Cricetulus griseus: one gene and its partners. The protein of the gene in region 3 purifies or fractionates together with the protein of the main gene of each other region. This does not show direct contact. Links are inferred from orthologs where the notes say so. Each region holds a gene or a part of one and is shown on either strand. Other genes may lie near its edges.

What was found.
Region 1: the proteins of Ppp1r12a (region 3) and Ppp1cc purify together in Homo sapiens (affinity purification with western blotting; 3 studies listed by BioGRID, with this or other methods). This does not show direct contact. The link is inferred for Cricetulus griseus from reciprocal best matches to the Homo sapiens genes PPP1R12A and PPP1CC.
Region 2: the proteins of Ppp1r12a (region 3) and Ppp1cb purify together in Homo sapiens (affinity purification with mass spectrometry; 6 studies listed by BioGRID and IntAct, with this or other methods). This does not show direct contact. The link is inferred for Cricetulus griseus from reciprocal best matches to the Homo sapiens genes PPP1R12A and PPP1CB.
Region 4: the proteins of Ppp1r12a (region 3) and Rpa1 fractionate together in Homo sapiens (co-fractionation; 3 studies listed by BioGRID, with this or other methods). This does not show direct contact. The link is inferred for Cricetulus griseus from reciprocal best matches to the Homo sapiens genes PPP1R12A and RPA1.
Region 5: the proteins of Ppp1r12a (region 3) and Rhoa fractionate together in Homo sapiens (co-fractionation; 3 studies listed by BioGRID and IntAct, with this or other methods). This does not show direct contact. The link is inferred for Cricetulus griseus from reciprocal best matches to the Homo sapiens genes PPP1R12A and RHOA.

Annotation. Positions count from the first base shown.
Region 1 is NC_048597.1:102,007,399-102,012,512, reverse strand, and holds the start of Ppp1cc (serine/threonine-protein phosphatase PP1-gamma catalytic subunit), read right to left. Parts: upstream 3,167-5,114; 5' UTR 2,945-3,166; coding exon 2,890-2,944; intron 1-2,889. UniProt on the Homo sapiens protein: Protein phosphatase that associates with over 200 regulatory proteins to form highly specific holoenzymes which dephosphorylate hundreds of biological targets.
Region 2 is NC_048600.1:11,974,584-11,977,959, forward strand, and holds the end of Ppp1cb (serine/threonine-protein phosphatase PP1-beta catalytic subunit), read right to left. Parts: intron 2,608-3,376; coding exon 2,503-2,607; 3' UTR 813-2,502; downstream 1-812. UniProt on the Homo sapiens protein: Protein phosphatase that associates with over 200 regulatory proteins to form highly specific holoenzymes which dephosphorylate hundreds of biological targets.
Region 3 is NW_023276806.1:146,976,152-146,980,644, reverse strand, and holds part of Ppp1r12a (protein phosphatase 1 regulatory subunit 12A), read left to right. Parts: intron 1-1,202; coding exon 1,203-1,293; intron 1,294-2,348; coding exon 2,349-2,549; intron 2,550-2,783; coding exon 2,784-2,955; intron 2,956-3,806; coding exon 3,807-3,928; intron 3,929-4,493. UniProt on the Homo sapiens protein: Key regulator of protein phosphatase 1C (PPP1C). Mediates binding to myosin. As part of the PPP1C complex, involved in dephosphorylation of PLK1. Capable of inhibiting HIF1AN-dependent suppression of HIF1A activity.
Region 4 is NC_048600.1:88,759,966-88,764,458, reverse strand, and holds part of Rpa1 (replication protein A 70 kDa DNA-binding subunit), read left to right. Parts: intron 1-2,257; coding exon 2,258-2,390; intron 2,391-4,493. UniProt on the Homo sapiens protein: As part of the heterotrimeric replication protein A complex (RPA/RP-A), binds and stabilizes single-stranded DNA intermediates that form during DNA replication or upon DNA stress.
Region 5 is NC_048597.1:216,484,306-216,489,474, reverse strand, and holds the start of Rhoa (transforming protein RhoA), read right to left. Parts: upstream 3,134-5,169; 5' UTR 2,992-3,133; intron 2,597-2,991; exon of another isoform or gene 2,459-2,596; intron 1-2,458. Other genes in the region: Tcta (T-cell leukemia translocation-altered gene protein), read left to right, coding at 3,606-3,828, 5,095-5,169. UniProt on the Homo sapiens protein: Small GTPase which cycles between an active GTP-bound and an inactive GDP-bound state.

The DNA of each region.
Region 1 (5,114 bases), on a different chromosome or scaffold from region 3:
GGGGCCAGGTGTCTCATCTTCTAGAGCTGGAATAGCAGGCACTGAGCTGCCCCATGTGCTGGTAATTGAGCTTGGATCCTCTGGAAGAATAACATGCTCTTAACCATCTCTCCAGCCCTTGATTTTTTGAGACAGGGTCTCACTATGGATAGCTGGCTGGCATGGAATTTGGTGTGTAGACCAGGTTGGCCTCCCAGCTCACCGCTCTGGGATGAAGGAGTGTGCCACATGGCCACACCTCATTATTAAAGACCCTGTCCCATCTCGTTCATACAGCCCTCGCTTGCAAAGCCCTTTCTCAGCTCGTTCATAGCTCTTAAGTTTGGGAGTTCTTGAGGAAGGGTTCCAACTGTGAGACAGATATTGCTATCCAACACAGCCTGGCCTAGAATGTCTGCATTTCCGTGTCCCAGGCTCCAGAGTGTTGGGGCAGTAAGGTGCCCAACTACAAAAGAATCAATTATCAATTGGAAAAAATGCCTCATCAAGTGACAAATCTTATCTCCACCTTTTGGAATTAAACCCTGAATTTCATTTTACTATGTAGAGGTGTGCAAGTACACACTTGCTGGGAGCGTTTGGGGAGGGAGGGAAGCAGGCGAGAGTCTGGTTCTCCTCTCAAGTTCTTGTGGGTCCTGAGGATCAAATCAGGTCTTCGTGGTTAAGGGCAGAGCCACTAATTATCAGCTGAGCCATCTCTAGAGTCTATGAATTACTTAAATCTCACTCCCAGTGTTCAGAGATGACGGCCCTAAAGATGGTACACAAAGTAGAGAGAGCACAACACCACATTCTCTAATGGAGAAGCACACACATCCTCAACAGAAGGCTGTGGTTTTGTTAAGTTCACATACAGAAATAAGAAGAAACATATACTGTGCAACTAGCTTATTCTCAAAGCATTTAAATATAGTATCCTACTCTATTAAGTTCAAAAGAAAATAAAAAACCAGCCTGGACATGGTGGTAAAGTCTCCAATTCCAACACTTATAGGAGGCAGAGGCAGGCAGATCTCTGTAAATCTCAGGTTAGCCTTTGCTTGGTAGTGACACTCAGTCTCAAAATTTAAAAAGTAACATTCAAGAAACTATAGGGGCCCATCAATGGTGGCACACACCTTTAATCCCAGAGCTGAGTTCAAGGCCAGCCTGATCTATGTAGAAAAAAGCTGTCTTCAAACCTGTTCCCCCCATAAAAAAAAAAGAAAAAAGAAGGGGGGGCTGAGGTGATGGTTCAGCAGCCAAGAGCACTTGCTGCTCTTGGGGATAACCCTGGCTACGCTCCCAGCACAGATAGTGGCTCACAACCATCTAACTCCAGCCCCAGAGGACCCAATGCCCCTTTCTAACCTCCTTGGTTATAGGCATGCATGTGGTAAACACATACATATGAAGACAAAGCTTAAAACATAAAATCTAAAAACAAAAATTTTTAAAGGGGGAGAAAGGAAAGCTGATGAAGCAAGCCTACACAAAGATAAGAACAAACTACACACACCCAATTGTCCTCTAATCCCGGGTGCTGTGGCCTGGGTGCACTCACACACATCCCATGTGAAAAATAAATTTAAAAACAAAAGATGAGCCAAGTTTACTGCTAAAACTTTTTCAGCATAGTGTTAAACATAAAAAAAAAAAAAAAAAAAAAACACAACGAAATCTGAGCTGGGGATGCAGCCCAGGTGATGGAATGCTTACTCAGCGTGTAGGAAGAAGCCTTGGGTTCAATCCTCAGGACTTCATAACCCAGGCTTGGTGGCTTATAACTTCTAGTACTTGGGAGGAGGCACAAGGATCAGGAGTTCAAGGCCAGTTCTGGCTCTGTGGGACTTTATCTAGGGGAAATGATGATAAAAGCCTTTAATCCCCAGCACTCAGGAAGGGGAGGCAGAGGGATCTGAGAGTTTGAGGCTAGCCTGATCTACACACATCGAGCTCCAGGACAGCCAGGACTGCAGAGACCCTGTCTCAACAAAGCCAAAAACAAAAAAGACCCGATCTAAACAAAGCAATAAAATAAAGTATTAGGGGAGAAAATGCACAGATTAAAAAGACACTTTTTACTTTTCTTTCAATGACTCTGCAGCTGTTCACCACCACCACTCACGGCATGTTTCTTACACGCCAACAGTATTTTAGGCAAAAGCAGCAAAAGCCAGCTAGTTAATAACATTGTCAAGAACCCAATCAGCATTAGGTCGGGAATTGTGGGGAGTCCCTATGTCATATTAATCTCTCACCAACTAGGAACCCACTGCAGCGCCCCCCACCCACCCCGTCATAAGTCGGACAAAAGAAAAGATTTTTAACCTTCCCTTAGCCACTAGGCACGCATGCCCTGCGCTCCCACAGGGTGAACAGTGGAAGAGGGCAGGCAGGTCGTGTCTAGACCTTGGCTACCAGGGGTTTGAAGCGGGACTCGCCCTTGGTCAGGCGAGGTCTTTTAAGTTTCTTCCAAGATAACAGCACCTACCTGGCAGGGCGCTCGCTGAATGCAGCAGCGCGCCCCTCTCCTCGGGACAACAATCTGATGAGCAGAGAGCCACAGACACTGTCACCCCGGTCGCGGCTCGGCCCGTGTGCGGATGCACGTTCAAGGGGAAAGAGCGCCGGAGGGAGGATGGCTTTTTTTTGGGGGGGGGGGATGCAAGGGACGGGGCTCTCGTCGCCCCGGGACGTCGCCCCGCCAAGTCACACTGGGTCCTTGGACTCCAGATTTATCACAATGTGAGAGCAAGGGCAGGAGAGGCAGTAATAAAAACAAGGGGTCTGTCCCTAGACCCGGAGGCGCTGTGTGCGCGCCCCAGATCCAAGCGGCTTCCGAGGACCGGTCCCCACCGGGCCTGGTCCCACCGGCCCCGCCCGCCCGCCCGCCCGCGCGCCGCTCACCTTCCAGCAGCCGTTGGATGATGCTGTCGATGTTGAGTTTATCGATATCCGCCATCGCCGTCCTGCCGCCGACCCTCCCGCAGCGGCGCCGCCGCCGGCTCGCGCCCGGGCCTCACACGTCCTCCTTCCTCACGCCACGAGCCCCACGAGCGGTGGTGGCGGCGGCGGTGGCAGCAGCAGCCGCGGCGGGTCCCCCCCCCAGCCGCCCCGCTCCCGGCTTCCTCCTCCTCTCGCCACTGGAACCACGAGAAGAACAAAATGGCCGCCGACTCGTCAGGCCAGCCTCGGGCGGCGCACGGATGCGCGCGCGGGGAGTGCAGCGGCGGCCGGGACTTCAGGCCCATAGGGCGCGGGAGGGCGGGGCCGCTGCGGGAGGGGGCGGCCTTCGCGCTTCAGGGGCGGGGCCTGGCAGAGACGGTGAGACACCCATCCGCGCGCGGGATCCTTCCGCCAAACGGGCGGGGGGTGGGGGTGGGGGACGGGAGTGGAGGGTGGGGCGGGGAATAGACCCCCACCCCCACCCTCCACCCCCCCGCCCCCACCCCCACCCCCACCCCACCCCCCGCGGGAGAGTGAAGTTGCAAAGTTGGCGCGCGCGCGAGTTAAAGACGGGTATTGTCCGGCGGCTGCTCGTTGCTAGAGTTAAGATCTCCTCCCGGTGCTGCTGATTTGGGGCAGATGTCTGCAGACTCGGCGGGGTGGGAGCTCACCAGGGAGTCAGTCACCCACCCCTCGGAACCAATCTGGGTTGGAGATGTCCATGGAGGATCTTTAGGAGAAGGAAGTTGGAGGGTCGAGGATTCAAATATGCCGGCTCATATTGGTGAGCAAGAAGAGCTGTATGTATGACTCTGTGGTATGAACGCTTGTCTAGTATGTGTGAGACCCTGGGTTCAATCCCCAGCACTGCCAAGATTTCGTAATACTGCAATAAAGTATCTAAGATCCAGTATTTGAAAAAAAGAAAGCCTCCCCCAGATAAAAGAAACGTTAGTCCATTGTGAGTAGTGCATAATTCAGTAACTGTGTACCTCTTGCGTGCACTTCTGCAGTTTTACATTTTAGGGAGAGGTTGGGAGACTTTTGTAAGGTGTCACCTATCTTTAGATTATCTTTCTTGAACTCAGAAAGTTATATAATAACCGTGATGTTCTCCCCTGGATTTAGCCTGAGCTGGATTGAATGAGCGCACGGCAGCAGATAAGATGGGAATTTGCGGAGGAAAGCGAGTTAGAGGCTGCTGTGCGCCCCGGGCTTCAGCACATTCTACTGCTGCTTGCCTCTGGTTTCATCGCCTCCCCGAGGGCACCCTTCTCCAGGGAGCCCCCAACTGTGCTGCCTCTCAGGCTAACTGGATCTGAAAATGCACACCCACCTGACCCATTTCTCTCTCCAAGCAGCCCTTCACAGTTTACAAAAATCCTCTTCCCCACCCCCCACTCCAAAAGCTCATGATTCTCAAAGCAAAAGGGATGCACGGATTCCCTTCCGTGTGTTCCTAGCAAGGTGGCTTCCCCATCTGGAGATTCATTTTCACCAGGCCACAGCAGCATGGCATGGGGTGCACCCTTGCAGATCTCTGGCCTCCTTTCTGCTGCTGGCGCCAACGGTGGAGCTTCTGGAGTCATCCCAGCTCCCCTCAACTGCCTGCACCATTTTACTCAGTCACCAACTTACTCTCCCAAGCTATGTTTTTGCCTACCAGTCCCACAAGTGTCATTTGTCACTCCAAGGCACCTGGCTCAGTAGACATCTTGACGTCTGGGGCCTATGCCAAGCCCTGCTGTGAATATCTTGTTTGGCTCTCAAGGAGTTTCTGGGACTTGGGCTCCTCTGGGGCAGAGTGTATCTTCCCAATGACACTTTGGGGACAGGGATATAAGACGGTTCCCTAAGGAGACAAATATTTACAGAGTGCCTACTCTGTTCCTGAGTTTTTTCTAGGCGTGGAGCAGGGTGAACAAAACAGAGGAAGCCTTTCTTTCTGAGGAAATTCATATAGAGACACTGCACTCTCATTTGTATGAGCCAAAAATTGTCTCGTTGTGCGAGCCAGCTAAATGGCTCAGTGGGTAAAGGTGATTGCCACCAAGCCTGCCAGCCCCAATACCCTAATGAAGAGAGGTTGTCCTCTGACCACCAAGCAGACATATATACAAAATAAATAAAATGTAATAAAATATTTTAATAAAAAAATTACCTCCAGGCTGGGCATGGTTGTATAT
Region 2 (3,376 bases), on a different chromosome or scaffold from region 3:
TTGAAGTCAGGACATCTGGAAGAGCAGTCGGTACTCTTAACCTCTGAGCCATCTCTCTAGCCCTTTGTTTTGTTTTGTTTTTGTTTGTTTTTCGAGACAGGGTTTTTCTGTGGCTTTGGAGGCTGTCCTGACTGCCTCAGTCTCTCGAGTGCTGGGATTAAAGGCGTGTGCCACCACTGCCCAGCTGTAACTTTTCATCTAGTGACTGGACACTGTAAAAAAAAATTTTTTTTTTTTCTCAGAAAGATCTTAATATGTAGACCTGACTTCATAGATCTTCATGTCTGCATCACAAATCTTGGGACTTAAGGCAGCCTGTATTCTATTTTTTGTCTTTGAGATTTTGCCAGCAAACTAGCATAATAATCTGTGATAGCTGCATATGTTCAGCTGTGATTACTGTATTATTGTTAGGAGCACATAATGTACTGAGTGCTTATCTATGAGAAGCTGTAGAGTAGTTTTTAAGAGATCTGAAATAATTTTTCTACATAGTATAATGTCTATCCTTTAATAACCAATACTAATTTGCTTACTTTTCCTTAGTTTTAATCTGAATGAATATTTATAAAAATCTGGTCTATAAGATACAAATTAACTAATATTGAGATTAAGGCTTACTTTCTTGAGCTACCTTTAAATATAGACAACTAAGAGATAACAACTAAATTCCTATTAGCAACTATTTGATTTATACCCCAGCAAAGTTAACAAATCACATTAGATAAATGTGTGTGTCATCTAATGAAACATGGCTACAACTATGTCAGTACATGTCTCATTGTAAAACAACACAGAATGATCACTCAGGCTTTGTATCAATTAGACAACTTTTACTAAATGAGAAAACTACATTTAAAATGTGCTTTAAAACAAAATTAGAAAAAAAAAAAGATGAATGCGTTTTAAAGAACTTTTGCACTGTGCTGAAAATCAAATGTTTCTTGCAGTAATACAATGTGCCAATCCATAAAATGTTAACAGAGTTCTCAGTTTAACATTTTCAAAGACAATATAAGGTTTCACATCTATGGTAACACATAAGAAGGGCATTATAAATATTATGTCCATCCCTATGAAGCTTACAAATTTGACATGTTCAATAAAGACTTTAGAATCACATCCAATAGTGTCACATCCAAAGAACCACAGATCTGTGCCTGTTGTTAAGTCTTCCTTCTAAAATCTGTGTTGACCTTGCTACTCCTTGACATTTGTTAATGCTAACCCTTAAAAAAAAAAGAGAACAGGAAAAGAAATGCTGCAATAAACTCTTGATCATGTACAGAAATTATTGCTACTATACTTCACTACAAAGCATGTCTATACATATTATGACCTTTGATTATGAAAACGCAGAGTAAAATCTTTAGTGACAAAGCCTTACAGTCAAAAACAACATTCACATGGCAATTATTAGACAGTGAAGCACCCGATACTCAGAGCTGACAAATGTCCCACTGACCAGCATTCATTTAAATACATCCTTCACATGGAGAGGGAAAGAAGAGCGCCAGCTTTCCAAGGCTTGTCAAAAAAAGGATTCTCATGTTCTGTGGATCTAAAAACAAACAAACAACAACAAAAACCCCAAAAAACAAAACCAATGCAGGTGAGGGTAATTACCAGAAAGTTAAGCATGCCAAAAGGTGTTTCGTGCGAATTAAAACCTAAAGCCAAGGTACCACATAATCACATTACCAACTAGTTTTGGGTAATACTATATGAGCCTTATCTTAAACAAAATGCTACTGCACAATAGAGCATCAATAAATTAAAAATTAGAGTGCACAAATCCAAATCAGTGGCAATTTTGTAAAAAGCGAAATATTCATTATCAGCTGCAAAGGTTGCCCAGTCAAACTGTTTGATTAAAATCATTGGATCAGATAGTTTGTATATTTTTAAAACCCATCAACCCTTAAAATTCCTTTTTGTTATTTTGAGGCATAAGTTTTCTTAGTAAGATCAAACAGTTACATAAGTAGCTAAGTGAAGAAAACTAATAGTTGGTGAATGTCTTTAAAGCTCTTCCCATATTTCACTTTTTAAAATGTTTAGGGAAAAACAGGAAAAGTAGTTGCCATTATTCTAGCAAAAACAAACAAAACAAAACAAGCCCAAAATAATTAAACAACCAAGCAACACTAAAACCACATTACACAGATGGAACGTCATGCTTTCATCGGGTAACTACCACAGCTAGTTTAACTGGGATGCTTGTCATCTTTAAAAAGTGTGATACCAGAAGATATAACTTCAATGGATACTTTTGAATTTGGATTTAACTTTGTTGAATATTATAACAGAGTATACTTATTACAATACAGTGTAGCACATCTTTCTATTAGAAAAAAATTTAAGCTCCTTTACCCGTCTCCTTAAGTTAAAGGTGTGACCTCATAAAGGGTGTCGAATGGCTGGATGGTTTTACAGTGCACACTTTATATTATGAAGTATGTCCTTAACAGATCTGATGCTTTCTTTACAGAATTCCTTTCTTCACCTTTTCTTCGGTGGATTAGCTGTTCGAGGTGGAGTGACAGGACGTCCAGAATTCAGTCCACCATACTGGTACTTAGCTTTCTTTTCAGATGGTTTCAATATCTTAAAATAAATAATTTATTAACAACATTATTCTTTCAATAAATGGCATCAATTGTTAAAGTCCAATGAAAACAGAAGCTCAGCAACATTGCACAAACATTTCTTAGATTTTAGGACTGGGTAAGTTTGTCAGAGCAACTCAGTGTGTGCTCAGCATGAAAAAGAGCCTGGGTCCTGCCTCCAGCACCACCCTTCTCCAAGGAGGGCACTTACTAGTTATCATTTCCTTTGTATTCTAATAACAATGGCTTGGATGCACAGTCTCAGTAACTAAGTTAAAATTTTCTTCATTAGTTCATCTCATTAGAGAGGAAAAAACACTGAGTCTGAGTCAAAAACTCCAGGTTCTCGACTTACTTCTGAACACGCACCCTGAGGAGTGGTGTAGTTGTTGGTGTAGGCAGATTAGCCTCATATTCATGGCAAGCCTTCTGCCCTAGCATTTTGAGTGCTGAGATTACAGGCATAAGCCACCACACAGAACTTTGACTTTATTTTCCCCGTTACAGGTAGATCTTACTTTAAATTTTTTTTATGAAGCCCGGTGGTGGCGCACACTTTTAATCCCAGTACTTGGGAGGCAGACACAGGTGGATCTTAGTGAGTTTGAGGCCAGCCTGGTCTACAAAGAGAGTTCCAAAACAGCCAGGGCTATAGAGAGAAACCCTGTCTTGAAAACCCAAAACTAAACAAAAACATGATTATTTTCCATATCATAAAGTTTAACTGCTTACAGTGTACAAGTTTTTAGTAATCTTATTTATTTAGT
Region 3 (4,493 bases):
ATATGAGTTCAGTGATAAACAGTGTTCATGATTGAACTTCCCCAAGTAGTACTGGTTACAAGAGGCAACTCTTCATCTCCTTTGCAGATTATTTAGTCCTTGTTCAAAGTGTGAATAAAAATGTGATTTGTAGCTGAGCAGTGGTGGCACACACCTTTAATCCCAACACCCGGAAGGTAGAGACAAGTGGATCTCTGTGAGTTCAAGGCCAGCCTTGTCTATAGAGTGAGTTCCAGAACAGCCCAGGGCCACACAGAGAAACAGTCTCCAAAACAAAACTAAAGAGTATGATTTGTACTCAGAGTTTAAATAATTAAATAACATGAATGTAAAGAATGTCCCCATCTCAATACAGCTGTTCTGACATTTACAGTAGAGACTTTAAGTCATATATCTTCATATGTCATCTAAGAATGTTACAACAAACAAAACAGGCCCAAGGGGATGTTTTAAGGAATTTGGAGTTGGGATTGGAAAAGAAGATGTACTTAAAAATATTCTGGGTGTAGAAAAGATAATATATAATATTAATTATTATAATAATATATTAAGTAAAATATAATAAAAATGATAGAACTTGGTTGATAAATGGATTTGTGGGGCCCTAAAGAAATAACATGGAATGAGTTGTTTCTCAATGGAGGCTAGATCCACCCTTTCCATATCTGTGAACTGACACTTTGCTAATGAAATGCTTATGTTTCTTTCAATCATCCGTTCTCTAGTTACTTTAAATTACATTATTTTTAAATTAAGCTATACCATTAAATGTAGCAAGGAAGAAATCAACATGCTATATTAAGTATAACTAGTTCTTGTCTAGAAAGAAATGATCATGGACTGAAGAGCTTCCTCGGGGGTTTGGAGAACTTGTTCTTCTAGAGGGTCTGGAATTGGGTTGCTAGCACCCACATGACTGTTGATAGCTGTCTGTAACTCTACTCCCAGGGGATCCATTGGCTTTTGTGGGTATCAGGCAGACAAGTAGTACAGACAAAACAAGAAGGCAAAACATCCACACACATTAAAAATTAAATAAAGTTATATTGCATTAATGAAATTCAAAGTAGGTACATTTTCTTAAGATTCTTTTTTTAACCCACTAAACACTAAAGCTTGCTTGTTTTAATCACAAACATTGATGACTATTTCTATTCATGCATACTGACTCTATAAGTAATAAGTTTTATCTATTACTGTAGGTCATACCTCACTCCTGTTAGAGACGAAGAGTCTGAATCCCAAAGAAAAGCAAGATCTAGACAAGCAAGACAGTCTAGAAGGTCAACACAGGTATATTTAATGTGTATAATATAAAGAACATGTAGATAATTAATGCATGCCCTTTCATTTTCACTTTGCTGTATGAATAATCAGAAAAGGTAAAGGTTGTTGTACTTATCCTTCCATAGTTTTTGTATATAAGGTTACACTTTTGGTATCTTATTACATCTAATTAGTCCTTTGTCTCTTTGAGTATTGTTTTTAATCCTCCATACCCAATTTGGTTTCTGGTACAGAGTATTCATAGGTGTTAAATGAGTTAATCACATGATGCTTTTGTTTTGTTTTTTTCAAGACAGGGTCTCTCTGTGTAGCCCTGGCTGTCCTGGAACTCACTCTGTAGACCAGGCTGGCCTTGAACTCAGAGGTCCTCCTGCCTCTATCTCACAAGTGCTGAGATTAAAGGCATGCACCATTGCCCAGCCATATGATGCCTTATAATTGTTAAAGTCTTACGAATATGTGGAGGTGAAGGAATGGAAAATAGGCCTGGTGTTCAGTATAGGAAATAGCAAGTTAAGAGTGGTGTCTCTCAAGGTAGTCACTTTCCTACTTCCTGCTCGTTGTTCTGATTATGGTATTTTCCCTACATTTGAGGAACTCCACAGTAGTATGGATTCAACTCTTTGAACCCTACCATTACTTGCCTTTCGAAGCGTTACGTTTGTTTGGTCTTAAGCTATTTTTATTATTTAGCTTGTTTTCAATGGTCTAACCTGAAAACAGTACTTACTTATTGAAGACTTTGTCAAACCTCAAGTTAATGTGTGAAAATGAATCCATGTAGTGTATTATAAAAATGGTATATTGTATGGATTGGCTCTTCTTCTGAAATTAGAAACATTCAGATTTTTCCATTTTCTTAGTATTTTGTTAGTTTATAAATAGAGACTGTTTCTTATCTATAGTTACAACTTTCCCAATTCCTGTCATTGTTGCTGTTTGTAAAGTGAGTGTGACTTACTGTATTAAAATTACATTCATATTTGATTTATCAGCTTGTAAAGTATTCTTTTTAAATGGTCTTTAATGTGTCTCACTATTTATGCCTTTCTGATGTGCAGGGCGTAACACTGACTGATCTTCAGGAAGCTGAAAAAACAATAGGAAGAAGTCGTTCTACAAGAACCAGAGAACAAGAAAATGAAGAGAAAGAAAAAGAGGAAAAAGAAAAACAGGATAAAGAGAAGCAAGAAGAAAAGAAGGAGTCAGAAACATCTAGAGAAGATGAATATAAACAAAAGTATTCCAGATCATATGATGAGGTAATGCTATGGGCAGCATAGCTGAGTCAAGTGTCATGAGGGATTCTTGGGGTTCTGAGTGTGCTGAGATGTATAGCCTAACAAGCTGCGTGACATACGTGAAAGGCTTGGGCTAGAGTCCAAATGGCTTTAGCATGATGCAAATAGTGCTTGTTCTTTGAAGTCAGCATTGTGTCTTATGTGTCTTTACTGTAATTACTATTTCCAATGGGTTTCATCTTTAATGTTTCACAGACTTATACACGTTACAGACCAGTGTCAACCTCCAGTTCCACCACTCCATCATCCTCCTCACTTTCTACTATCAGCAGCTCACTCTATGCTTCAAGTCAGCTAAACAGGCCAAACAGTCTTGTAGGTATAACTTCTGCCTACTCCCGGGGATTAACGAAAGAAAATGAAAGAGGTAAGAAATCACTTTTTCAAGCCATCTTTGAGGAGGTTTCCCTCCTTCCAGTGCACCTCAGGAAGACAATCTTAAACTGATTGAACAGAAATGGTGCAAGCAGTCGTGTTCTGTGTGTTCAAAGGCCCCTGTAGTCTTGTAGTATGGAAGCCATTTGCAGGGAGGAAACAGCAATCATGTTTATACGATTTGCTTTTAATGAAAGATGGGTAGATTTTTCAGTGACTGTGAAGTGGTAGAAAACAGTGGTAAAGGAGCAACTGGGCTCCTACCATCTGTCCCATCATTTGTTTGGTCTGCTTGTTTCCTCGCACATTATTAGTTTGGGTATAAATTACTATCACATATTAATAACTGCATCCCTATTCTTCCCACCAAACACCTTGTTTTCGACTTGCAAATATTGTGTCTTTGGAAAATGTTTTTATTTTGGACAGCAAGAAAGTAGAGATAATTTGTACTCATGGCCAATAACTGTGCCTTAATGGGAGATTGAAATGCATGCTTTGTCAAATATATACAAGTACTGATGGAGGCAAAAATTATTTTTAATTGGAAAAATGTAGACTTCACCTAAGAGGCTAACTTAGAATTGGGGTGTGACTTTTCTTTTATTTTGTAAGTGCTGGGAAAGGATAGATGTATGAGGGTAAGTATGGTGGCTCACCTGTGGGGGTCGGAGGACAGATTGTCAGAATCTGTTCTCCCCTTCCACCGTGTGGGTCCCTTGGCTTGGCAGCAGTCATATTTACCCATTGAACCAGCCAGCCAGTCCTAGAATTGTTTTGCCGTATCCTTGTAAAGACGTTGTCAAGATAAAATGTACTCATGTGGCGTATAATCCATAATAGAGGGAGAGAAGAAAGAAGAGGAAAAAGAAGGTGAAGATAAATCACAAGCTAAATCAATCAGAGAGCGACGGAGACCTAGAGAAAAAAGGCGGTCGACTGGAGTTTCCTTTTGGACACAAGATGTGAGAACCTGTTAAAAACACTTGATAGTACACTTAACCTTCCCAGCGCTTGTTCAGAACTGCTGCATCCCTGAGAGTATATGTGTTTTAAATCATTAGTCCATTATTAAATTTTAAAATACTTTATAAACAGTCACACACACATATATATAACCTGAATAAATATAGCCTCTTGATATTTTTTTGTTTTTAACATTTTTTAGTAATTTCTTCACAAAACTGAGGGTCAAATTGAAGCAACAAACATTCTAGGCAAACGAATGCTTTGGCAGTGAGATACAACCTCAGTCCATAAAACCATTTTATTAAAATTTGATCTTTATCCAGAAACATAATAAATAAATGTATAGCTTCATGACAGCATAAAAATGGCTATACAAAGTCCCCATACTCTCATCGTTTTTAATGTCGACTGTTGACACATTTGAGTACAACTGTATTCTCTTTTGAAGTACATCTATGCTGTTATATGTAGCAATAATTTACTTTTATGGCTATAAAAAATGAATCTCTAAATTGTATGCATTCCTCCATTGAAAAAACAGAAGGCGCCAGGCTGTGGTGG
Region 4 (4,493 bases), on a different chromosome or scaffold from region 3:
GTGCTCAGGCCTTGAGAAGAGCTAGTTTCCATCAGCATCTGAGCTTCTGCCGAAACTTTGTTATTGATTGGAGTGGTTCCTTCATTTCTCGGAGGCCTTACGCCTTCTGAGATGGTGGCCTGAAAGCCCTTAAGCTGACCAACTTAATCCCCTGATGAACCTAGAGAGTCAGAGAAAGCAATTAGAATGTAAGTGAAGTGTGCATGCTGACCCTGATCCCCACCACCACCACCACCACCACTACTCCACTCCCCCCAACAGCAAGGCTTTAACAGCTGCGTGCTAAAAGAATGTGTTGAGAGCATCTTTTGCTCCTAAGTTTGAGCTGTGGGCAGCTGATGTGGGGGTAAAATGTACTTTCTCACTCTGGAGTCTCGGGAGCTGGTCACCTCTTCTGGTGTGTATTCACTCACCTCTGTCAAAGCATGGTGGGAACAATGGGCTTTTTGTTGGCATTACATCGTTATTCTCGAAGCACTCAAGAGACAGGAGAGCTTGTTAAGATCCCCACACCGTATCTAGCTTTTTTTTTTTTTTTAAGGCATTAAAACTCTGCCTTAGAAGAGCACTTCATCCTGAGAATGTAGTGTGGAAGAATTGATGTGGGCAAAGAAAAGACTTTACCCAGCTCAAGCTTAAGTCATTTGTGTAGCTGTAGTCACAGGGGGCATGTGTGGTTTCCAGCTATGGCTTAGAGTTTAGGGGATTCAAGAAATAGCTCATTTTATACTCCTCATTTTTGTTTTGAATCTGATATACTCCAGTAACAGTGATATTTTAATAATTTGATAGAATATCTCCTAGAATGTCTGTATTGCTTAAGCCACCCTCTCGAGTAGCCTGCATCCATCTATTTAACGGTGCTGATAGCTAGTATTGCATCATATGACAGAATCCCATAGTAGTTTAACTAGAAACAATCGTGTCTTTGGTTTGTTTTTGTTGGTTGATTTTCTTCCAGGCTCTGAGCACAACTCCAGGTTAATTGCATGCCCACAGTAAGGTGTTCATATTTCACTGTCAGTAACTGATCGCAGAAAACACAAAGAGGCATGTATGTCCCCTGAACAAAAGGTCCTGTCATTGATCTAGGACAGGTTCAGTGCACACACCCCACCCAGGCAAGGATTATCGGAAGTTTAGATCTTGCCACTAACAGGGTGGAATTTTTATTATAAGAAGGGCTCCTGTCTCCTTGCTCTGTTGATTCTTGATGAGCTATCTTTGTGGCAAATGTCTGCATGAAGTTTTTGAAGCCATAAACTTCACAGTTTTTAGTGGTAAAACCAATTATGAACTCTATCCTCTATGACGGATGTAGCTGTTCACCTGACACAATGTGGCCTAGGGCAGCAGCCACTCTGTTGAGTGCTCTCTTTTTAGGGAGTCAGTCCTGTATGTGGTTAACATTTAATTACCTACCACTTGGGTGTTTGATATGTTTGTGTTTGTTTGTTCATTTATTTGAGAAAGGGCTTTTCTGTGTATCCCTGGCTGGCCTGGAACTCACTCTGTAGACCAGGCTGGCCTCGAACTCAGAGGTGCACCCACCTCTGCCTCCCAAAGGCTGGGACTAAAGACGTTCACCACTCACTACAGCCAGCTCATGTTTTTAATCTCAAGCCCACCACTCTCCGCCACTGCATGTTCTTGCTACCTTCTCCCTGGCCTCTTTTCCTTTGGATTAGCCAATAGCTGGTCAAGAGGTGTAATCAGTTTTAATAATAATTTCATATAAATGACTTAACCTTGATGTTTGCATAAATAAATTCCCACTGAGAAAGCAAATATCTAACACAGCAGATAATGCCTTCTGATGAAGTATGTTGAATTCTACAACTGATTAGGCTTAAAAGATTTTCTACCATGAAAACATTTTTGGCTGACTCATGAAACAAAAATGTCCCTTTTCATCTGATTCATTTCAGTGATTGAGGTAAAGGCTCGAAGCCTGGGGGACTGCGCCAGGGTGGCCTTCTGTTGCTGACTCTGTTCACTGCTTTTTTTTTTTTAATATGCAGCCCAGTTTGGGGCAGGGGGTCTGTGGTATTTGGGCATTGTTTGTCTTGACCATGGGGTCATGTGGGAGTGGAGGTCAAAACAAATGAGGTCAAAAGAAAGGCCATTGTAATTCTTCAGGTGTGCTGGGACCCAGATGGGACCCGGTAGTGACAGAGCTCGTGGCTGGTATATCCAAACAGCACATTTGAGAAGGATGCAAAGTTCCTGTCACCATTGCTTTTGTTTTGTTTTTTAGGTTCGACTCAGAAGGACAAGCCTTAGATGGTGTTTCCATCTCTGACCTCAGGAGTGGAGGCGCTGGAGGGAACAACACCAACTGGAAAACTTTGTATGAGGCTAAATCGGAGAACTTGGGCCAGGGTGACAAGGTACCTCACGTCTTACTTCACAGAAGCCTAGAAAGCGCTAGATGGTTGAGTGTTTAAATCTGCTTTCAGGTGCTAGTTCAGGGCTGTGTTCTCATCTGGGATCCCAGAGCCCTGTGCCAGAGCGCCAGTTACTGCTTCTTGTTGTTGGTGTCTCTGTCACTGCCAGTATAGAGGCTGTGTGTGTTGAAGGGTGTGTTGTGGCCTCTCGTGTGAAGTAGAAAAGTGTGACAAGTTTCTGGATACTGCGGAAATGGTGGTGACCAGGCTCTGCAGTGTAGTGTGAACTGGCCTCGGGTTCATGTTAGTGTCTGAGCAGAGCATCAGTGTCAGGCTGTCAAGCATCAGGCAGCTCCTGTGGGTTTGAGCCTGAGTTGTAGATGGAGAGCAGCTGCTATCCTGCCAAGGACTGGTATTTGACTTTAGTTACAGCTTTCTGTTTCAGTGTTCCTCCCTTGGCCTAACCTGTGTTCTGCTGGATATTTGAATCATTTATTTCTATTGTGCTCCCTAAGCATCACTTGCTGCGGCTCCTTTATTGTCATCATATACAATATAGGTTTTCTTCCTTACTGTCTCATTTCACTGTGCACTCGATCCATCATTGTCATCCACAGCAACTTATAATACTATTATAGAACATCTTGAGAATTAAACATTGGTTGGATTCTGTTTCTTTTGTCAGCCAGTTGCTCTCTTAAACTAAAGATAGACAGTATGCAGTCAGAACTGAGCATACACTGTTAAATCAGGCTTCAAGTCTGCATCTTACCTGGAAATAGAGAGAAACTCTTTAGGCATTCTAAGGTTTAGCTCTCTACAGCTTTTTCCTCACAATTTTTAAAGTCATTTTTCATTTGCATTTTCCACTGCAGTGTATGGAATTCAAACTGAGCTCTCCCTGTGAGTCCCAGGGACCAGGCTCAGGTCATCCGGCCTGACAGCAAGCGCTTTCCCCCATGAGCTGGCATATTGGCCCCAGCTTGCTTTCTTTTTAATGTTTTTATTTTATGTGTATTAATGTTCTCCCTGGACCCAGCTGGACCCAACACACAAGTTTTCAGGACTCTGTGTTTTCAGTTTATGTTCAGTGGTCAAGTAACATATGACACAAACCAAATGAGTGACTGGTGTCTGAGGAGGTCAGAAGAAGGCATCAGATCCCCTGGAACAGCCACCATGTGGGTGCTGGGGAGCTGAATTTGGTTCCTCTGCAAAAGCAACCAGTGTTCTTAACAGTGGATCCATCTCCCCACCCAGCCACCCCAAGCCTTCTTATGTACTCAGTTCTGTGGAGCTGAGGGTTAAACCCAGCTCCTCGTGCATGCCAGTCAAGCTCTTCCACTGAGCTACACACCCAGCCCTAAAGCTGTCTAAACTGGGTACTAGCATAGTCTTTTTAAATGACCACATTGTTTTGCACCTCTGGTCTGAGACATCAAGTAGACCCAGTGTGAGCCAGGCATGATGGCAAATGCCCTTAATCCCAACACTTGGGCAGCAGAGGCAAGTGGGTCTCTGTGAGTTTGAGGCCAGCCTAGTCTGTATAGAGAGTTTCTGCATAGCCAGGGCTAATTAAAAAGGCCCAATGGTTTTGATAGCCTAGCTCTGAATTCAGGGTATTCCTGGATTCTGCAGTTACTTGACCACTGAACATAAACTGAAAACACAGAGTCCTGAAAACTTGTGTGTTGGGTACAGAGGTAAAGCGGATCCACTCAGAACCCTTAACATGACTTAGTCCTCCTAGGTTACTTAGCAGAGACTACTGTTTACATGGTTGTCGTCGTGGGTACTTTGGCATTCTCTTGAACTTTATTCAGTCCAGGAGTTGTTGCTGGTCAAGACTGTGAACTTGCTGTCTGATGTTGTCAGTAAAAGTTTACTGAGAACCATCTGAGCAGTGATGGTTCTCGACTTTAATCCCAGCACTCCACAGTAGAGGCAGGTGGATCTGTGAGTACGAGGTCAGCCTGGTCTCCAGAGCAAGTTCAGGACAGCCAGGGCTACACAGAGAAGCCCTGTCTCAAAAATATATTTTATTGGATCATCCTCCATCTTCACATTGTCTGGGGTTTGTCTTGCCCCACAGCAGCAGGCTGAGGA
Region 5 (5,169 bases), on a different chromosome or scaffold from region 3:
CATACCCTAACAGTGTAATGAGACTATCTCAAAACAAAAGTAAAATCAGGGTTGGGGATATACTTCAGTAGCAGAGCCCTTGCAAGTATGTGTAATGCTCTGGGCTCAAGCCTCCGGCTGAAAGGTTATCAACCCATTAATTAAAATATATAGAGGCTAATAGTATATAGCTAAGCAACAGAACGCTTGCCTAGCATCAAAGTTGGGTACAATTCTCAGTACCACAAAAAATAGTTAAGTAACATAACTAATGCTTTGGAGCAACATCTGAGTTCTACTGGGTAGAAACATAAAGAGGAGAGAAGAACATTACTAGGAACTTTTTTTTTGAGACAGGATTTTGTTATATAGCCCAGGCGGGCCTCAAATTAACAATCCTACCTCCTGGAGTACTGCAATTATAGGTTTCTCACCTCACCTACTTCCAGTTTTTAAATTCAGCATTTGTACACAGCATGCCATCATTGCTAGCAGTTATAACGCCATGGAACCAAATGTACTGTCTACAGAACCCACTAATCTCAAGTCAGTCTTGCAACAAGGTTAGCCAATCTCTCAAGGTTAACCTCCTCCTCCTCCTACTTCCACCCCACCCCATGGACTAAGAAACACCTGAACATTTTACTCTTCTAAAAATTTACACCGCTAATAGAGAGGATGGGCTGTTAAAAGGATTAATGATGAACAAAGAATAAGGACTATGAAAACACTCCAACAAAACCATTCTCACACACTGCACAGACCACTGCTTATGTATGTGATTTGTGCATTCTCACCAGTTCAAGTTAAAATCTAGTCAAAGGGGCTATAGTAGCCTGAAGACATTCTAGGGGGACCTCATTATGTTGTCTTTGTTAACAGTCAACTCCCAGAGGCTGGGTCCTCAAGAAAATCAACAAACTCAAAGACAAGGCTAAGCCAGAAAAGGGCTATGTACAAAAACTAGAAATTTAGACGGGCATTGGTGGCGCTCGCCTTTAACCCCAGCACTCAGGAGGCAGAGGCAGGCGGATCTCTGTGAGTTCGAGACCAGCCTGGTCTACAAGAGCTAGTTCCAGGACAGCCTCCAAAGCCACAGAGAAACCCTGTCTCCAAAAACCAAAAAAACCCCAAAAAACTAGAAATTTGTTTGGCAAGTGAACTGACCAGATTCTCCCTAAATACGCACAATCTGCAAGGTGAAGAACAGCAAGAGAGTAATCAGGAACCCTGATTTTAGCCGAGAGTACACGGAGGACTTTTTTTTTCAGATAGAAAAGTAGTTTTAGTCTAACTAGACATATGACCTTCAAAATTTTTAACGCTCACCAGGAACGGTGGTACACATCCCAGCACTATTCAGAAGGCAGAAGCAGGACAGCTAGATCTACAAATCAAGTTCCAGCGCTCAAGTCAGACTCTGTGTCCATTTCTCTTAAGTAGTAGGCAGGGGTCTCTCCCACTGTTCTCTCTGCAGAGTGCTAATAAACCTTTCTCTTGAAAAAAGTCCCTGAACTCAGTCTCCACGCCTACAAATGGAGTCAGCCTATAAATCCTTTAAATCTTTTCCAGTCTATATGGGGGAAAGTTGGCAGATTTTCCTTCTCCAGGAGATTTCTGGGTAGCGGCATTGTAAGTTGAACACTTGACTTTTGACTCAGTTAGTTATAGGGCTGGAATAAAGCTCAGAGATATAGCACCTGCTCACTATGCCCCAAGCCCTGAGTTTAATTTCAAGCACCAAAGAGAAAAAAAAAATAAAATAGAAAACACAAGCTCTCTATATATTTTATGCCCCTAAGAAACACCTAAGTAGACAAATTCTCACAATAGTTCTGAGAGCCTTCAATAGTAAGACCTAGCCTTGTATTTTAAGTTAACAAGGATACTTGTGTTAAATGTTCCAGACAGTATCACTACCAAGATAACCATGTGGATGGTGAGAAACCATCCACACGGTACATTCACACTTGGACATGTGACACTTAATGGCTGAAAATTCTCACCACATACTACATTGAGTTTCCCATCCCTCCAGGTTTGCCAGAGGAATATAATCTGGTTATATATAACCTGCAAAACAACACTTATTTCAAAAGAATGTCAGAAGACAGAAAGAACCATATGAATAACCAACAGAGGTTAAAATTCTTAGTGAGGACTATTAGAAAATACAAGTAGAACCAATTGTGGGACAAAAAAAAAAAGATGCCAATTTCCCACTTTATGCTACTAAACAAATCAAAAAAACAAAAACAAACAAAAAATATTTGGGTGCAAAAAGTACAATTTCAAGAAAACGACCTGAAAAGGGAACCCATCTGTAAGTGATTCCTAATTAAAGCAGTAACTTTAAGTAGAAATGCATCTATATCGATGCAACCTCTCCAAATTATTTTTACAATGTTTTTTCAACTGGAAAATACCTTCCCCCCATACAGTCTTCACCGCTAAGATTTCAAAACAATCATTTACTTACACAATCTCTAAGAATACGGCATTGAAAACAGAAAATCCACCCAAAGCCTCACTGTCTTCACCCGGTATAAAACGGTGATTAATGATCCACATTCAATGTAAAAGGCAAAATGGAGTTGTAAAAGAGTTTCTTGCCTATTCCAACTCCCGACACCACGCGCGCTTCACAGTGGCAGACTCCCCCAGCGCGGTCGCGGGCCGGCCGGGAGCCCCCGCCCAGCCCGGCGCAGCCCTGAGAGGAAGCGACGGGGAGGGCGGGCGGCTAGGGCTCCACCAGGCCCGGCCGGGCGGGGGAAGGGGGACTGGAGGCGGCGGGGCGCGCTTCGGGGACTGCGCGGGGCGGGCGGGGCCGCCGCCTCGGGCGCGGGGCCCCGGTCAGGGGGGGCCAGGGCTGCCGGCCGAGAGCAGCAGGTGGGGCGCGCCCGCGACTGGGGGACGGCGGGTGCCGGAAAGTGCCGGGCGGGCGGGCGGCGGCGGCGGCCGGCCGGCCGGGCCCCCGGAGCCGAGGCGGCTGGAGGGAATGCTTCTGCTCACCTCAAGGCGACCACTCCAAGTCCGGCCTCTTCGCGCCGAGGACGCCTGTCCGCGAGTCCGCAAGCTCGGAGACGAGGACCGGCAGCTCCGCGGAAGACGGCGGACTCAGCAGAGAACCGACGGAGGACCGCGGGCGGCGGGCGGCGGGCGGGGAGCGCGAGCGAACGAGGGCGGGCGGTGGCGGGAGGGCGGGGAGCGACGTGCGCGCCCCCGAGCGCCCTGCGGGCTCGAGCTGGCGCCAGTCGCGGCCCCGCGCACGCGCGCACTCTCGCAGTTCGTCCACGATTGCTCAAGAGCGCAACCACGCCCTAAAAGCAAGACGCTTAACCAATCATTGCGGCCGCGTGGAGCATCACGGGAACTCCGGGGCTATAAAAGACCAAGTTGCTATTTTATACTCACCGATTCACTCATCCTTTAAGTAGCAGGGCGGGGATGGGTGCGCCTGCGCGGTTTTAAAGCCCTGCCCCAAACTGCCAACACTTCGCGCAAGCGAAGTAGATCGTCTTTGCCCGACATTACGCGTGCGCACCTACTTCTCTAACCCCGGAAGACCGTGCGCTTGCGCAGTGAGAACTACGGTGACAGTACACCCGGTGGGGCGCTGGCCAGTCATGGCGGAACCTTGGTCTGGGCAGTTTTTGCAAGCTCTGCCCGCGTCGGTGCTCGGAGCGCTGGGCACCCTGGGCAGCGAATTCCTGCGGGAGTGGGAGACACAAGACATGCGAGTGACTCTCTTCAAGCTGCTCCTGCTGTGGTTGGTGTTAAGTCTCCTGGGCATCCAGCTGGCGTGGGGGTTCTACGGGAACACAGTGACCGGGTTGTATCACCGTCCAGGTGAGGCTCCCTACGAACCTCCTTGGCCTGGCTGCCCCTACCACCACCAAGCTATACCACTTGTTTCTCCTGTGTCCGCGTAGACTGCCACTGGTCTCCCAGAAGCCTCGTTGCACCCAGACTTACACCCCCATACCATCTTACATCAGAATCCCCACCTGTCCATAATCACGTTGTAACGGTTTCTCAAAAACCCTTACCAGACAATACTACCAGTCCCTAGCATCCCAGCCCCAATCTCTTAAACTGTACCAGTGGCCCCTTACCTGAGCCTGCTCAGATCCCCACCCTCAGCCTCCTGCAGCTCTGGGTGTGTTCCTGCCTCCAGGTCTGGGTGGCCAGAATGGATCCACACCTGATGGCTCCACACATTTTCCTTCATGGTGAGTAAATCTCCGTCTATCCCAACCCCATGCTTGGCAGGCAGAGAACACTGAGTGCTGGTGACAGGGAAGAGAATTCGCAGGGCCACCACCTTAGTGGCCTCTGCAAGAACCCTCCAATTCTGCAGGTAGAGCTCAGGATTCGAGTTGGGCATTTAGCAGTGCCTCTTATCAGCATATGCAGTGGGGATGGATGGTGGTGGTACCGTAATTTTAGAAAGGTGAAGTGGTAGGTAGGTCTGTTGGAAACAAATCCCTTGATTGGGAAGTCCTTCATTAGGAAAGTGAGAGTATCTATTCTAGGCAAGTACTGTACCATTGGAACTATAACGCCAGCCTAACAGCCTCTATTCTTAGCACACTACCTCATCAAAAAAAAAAAAAAAAAAAAAAAAAAAAAACCAGCCTACTTATCAAGACACTTCATTCAGTCAGTCTCTGAGCTTCTACCAGATAGCAGAGCTCACAGCAGGCCCAGAAAACAAGGACAACCCAGACTCTGCTACAGGGGAAGCAAGAGATTTAGAAGGAAAATAAGTACAAATGCAAAGTTGCTCAGGAAAGCAGCCCCTCCCCCATGACACCTAAACTGAGACCAAAGAGAGGACGGCACAGTATACTGGATAAGAAAAAAAAAAAAAAAAGGATAAAAACAGACCCAGTAGCAGGGACAAATGTGACACACTAGGAGACTAGGAGAGGCTGTGATAGTGAACTTTGAACACAAGAGCATAGGGGGACCATGGAGCGATTGAAGGACTGATTCAGCAAGACAGTGACCTGATCTAATTTGCCTTTATAACTCTCTGCTTAATAGCAAGTATTCATGGATAAACTATTCTGCTATTCATGAAGTAACCTTGCTTCTCTCCATCACTTTCAGGGAAATGGCAGCAAATGAACCTCTCAAAACCCACAGAGAATAAGGGAAGGCAGCAGCAGAAGCGTCTCCAGAGAC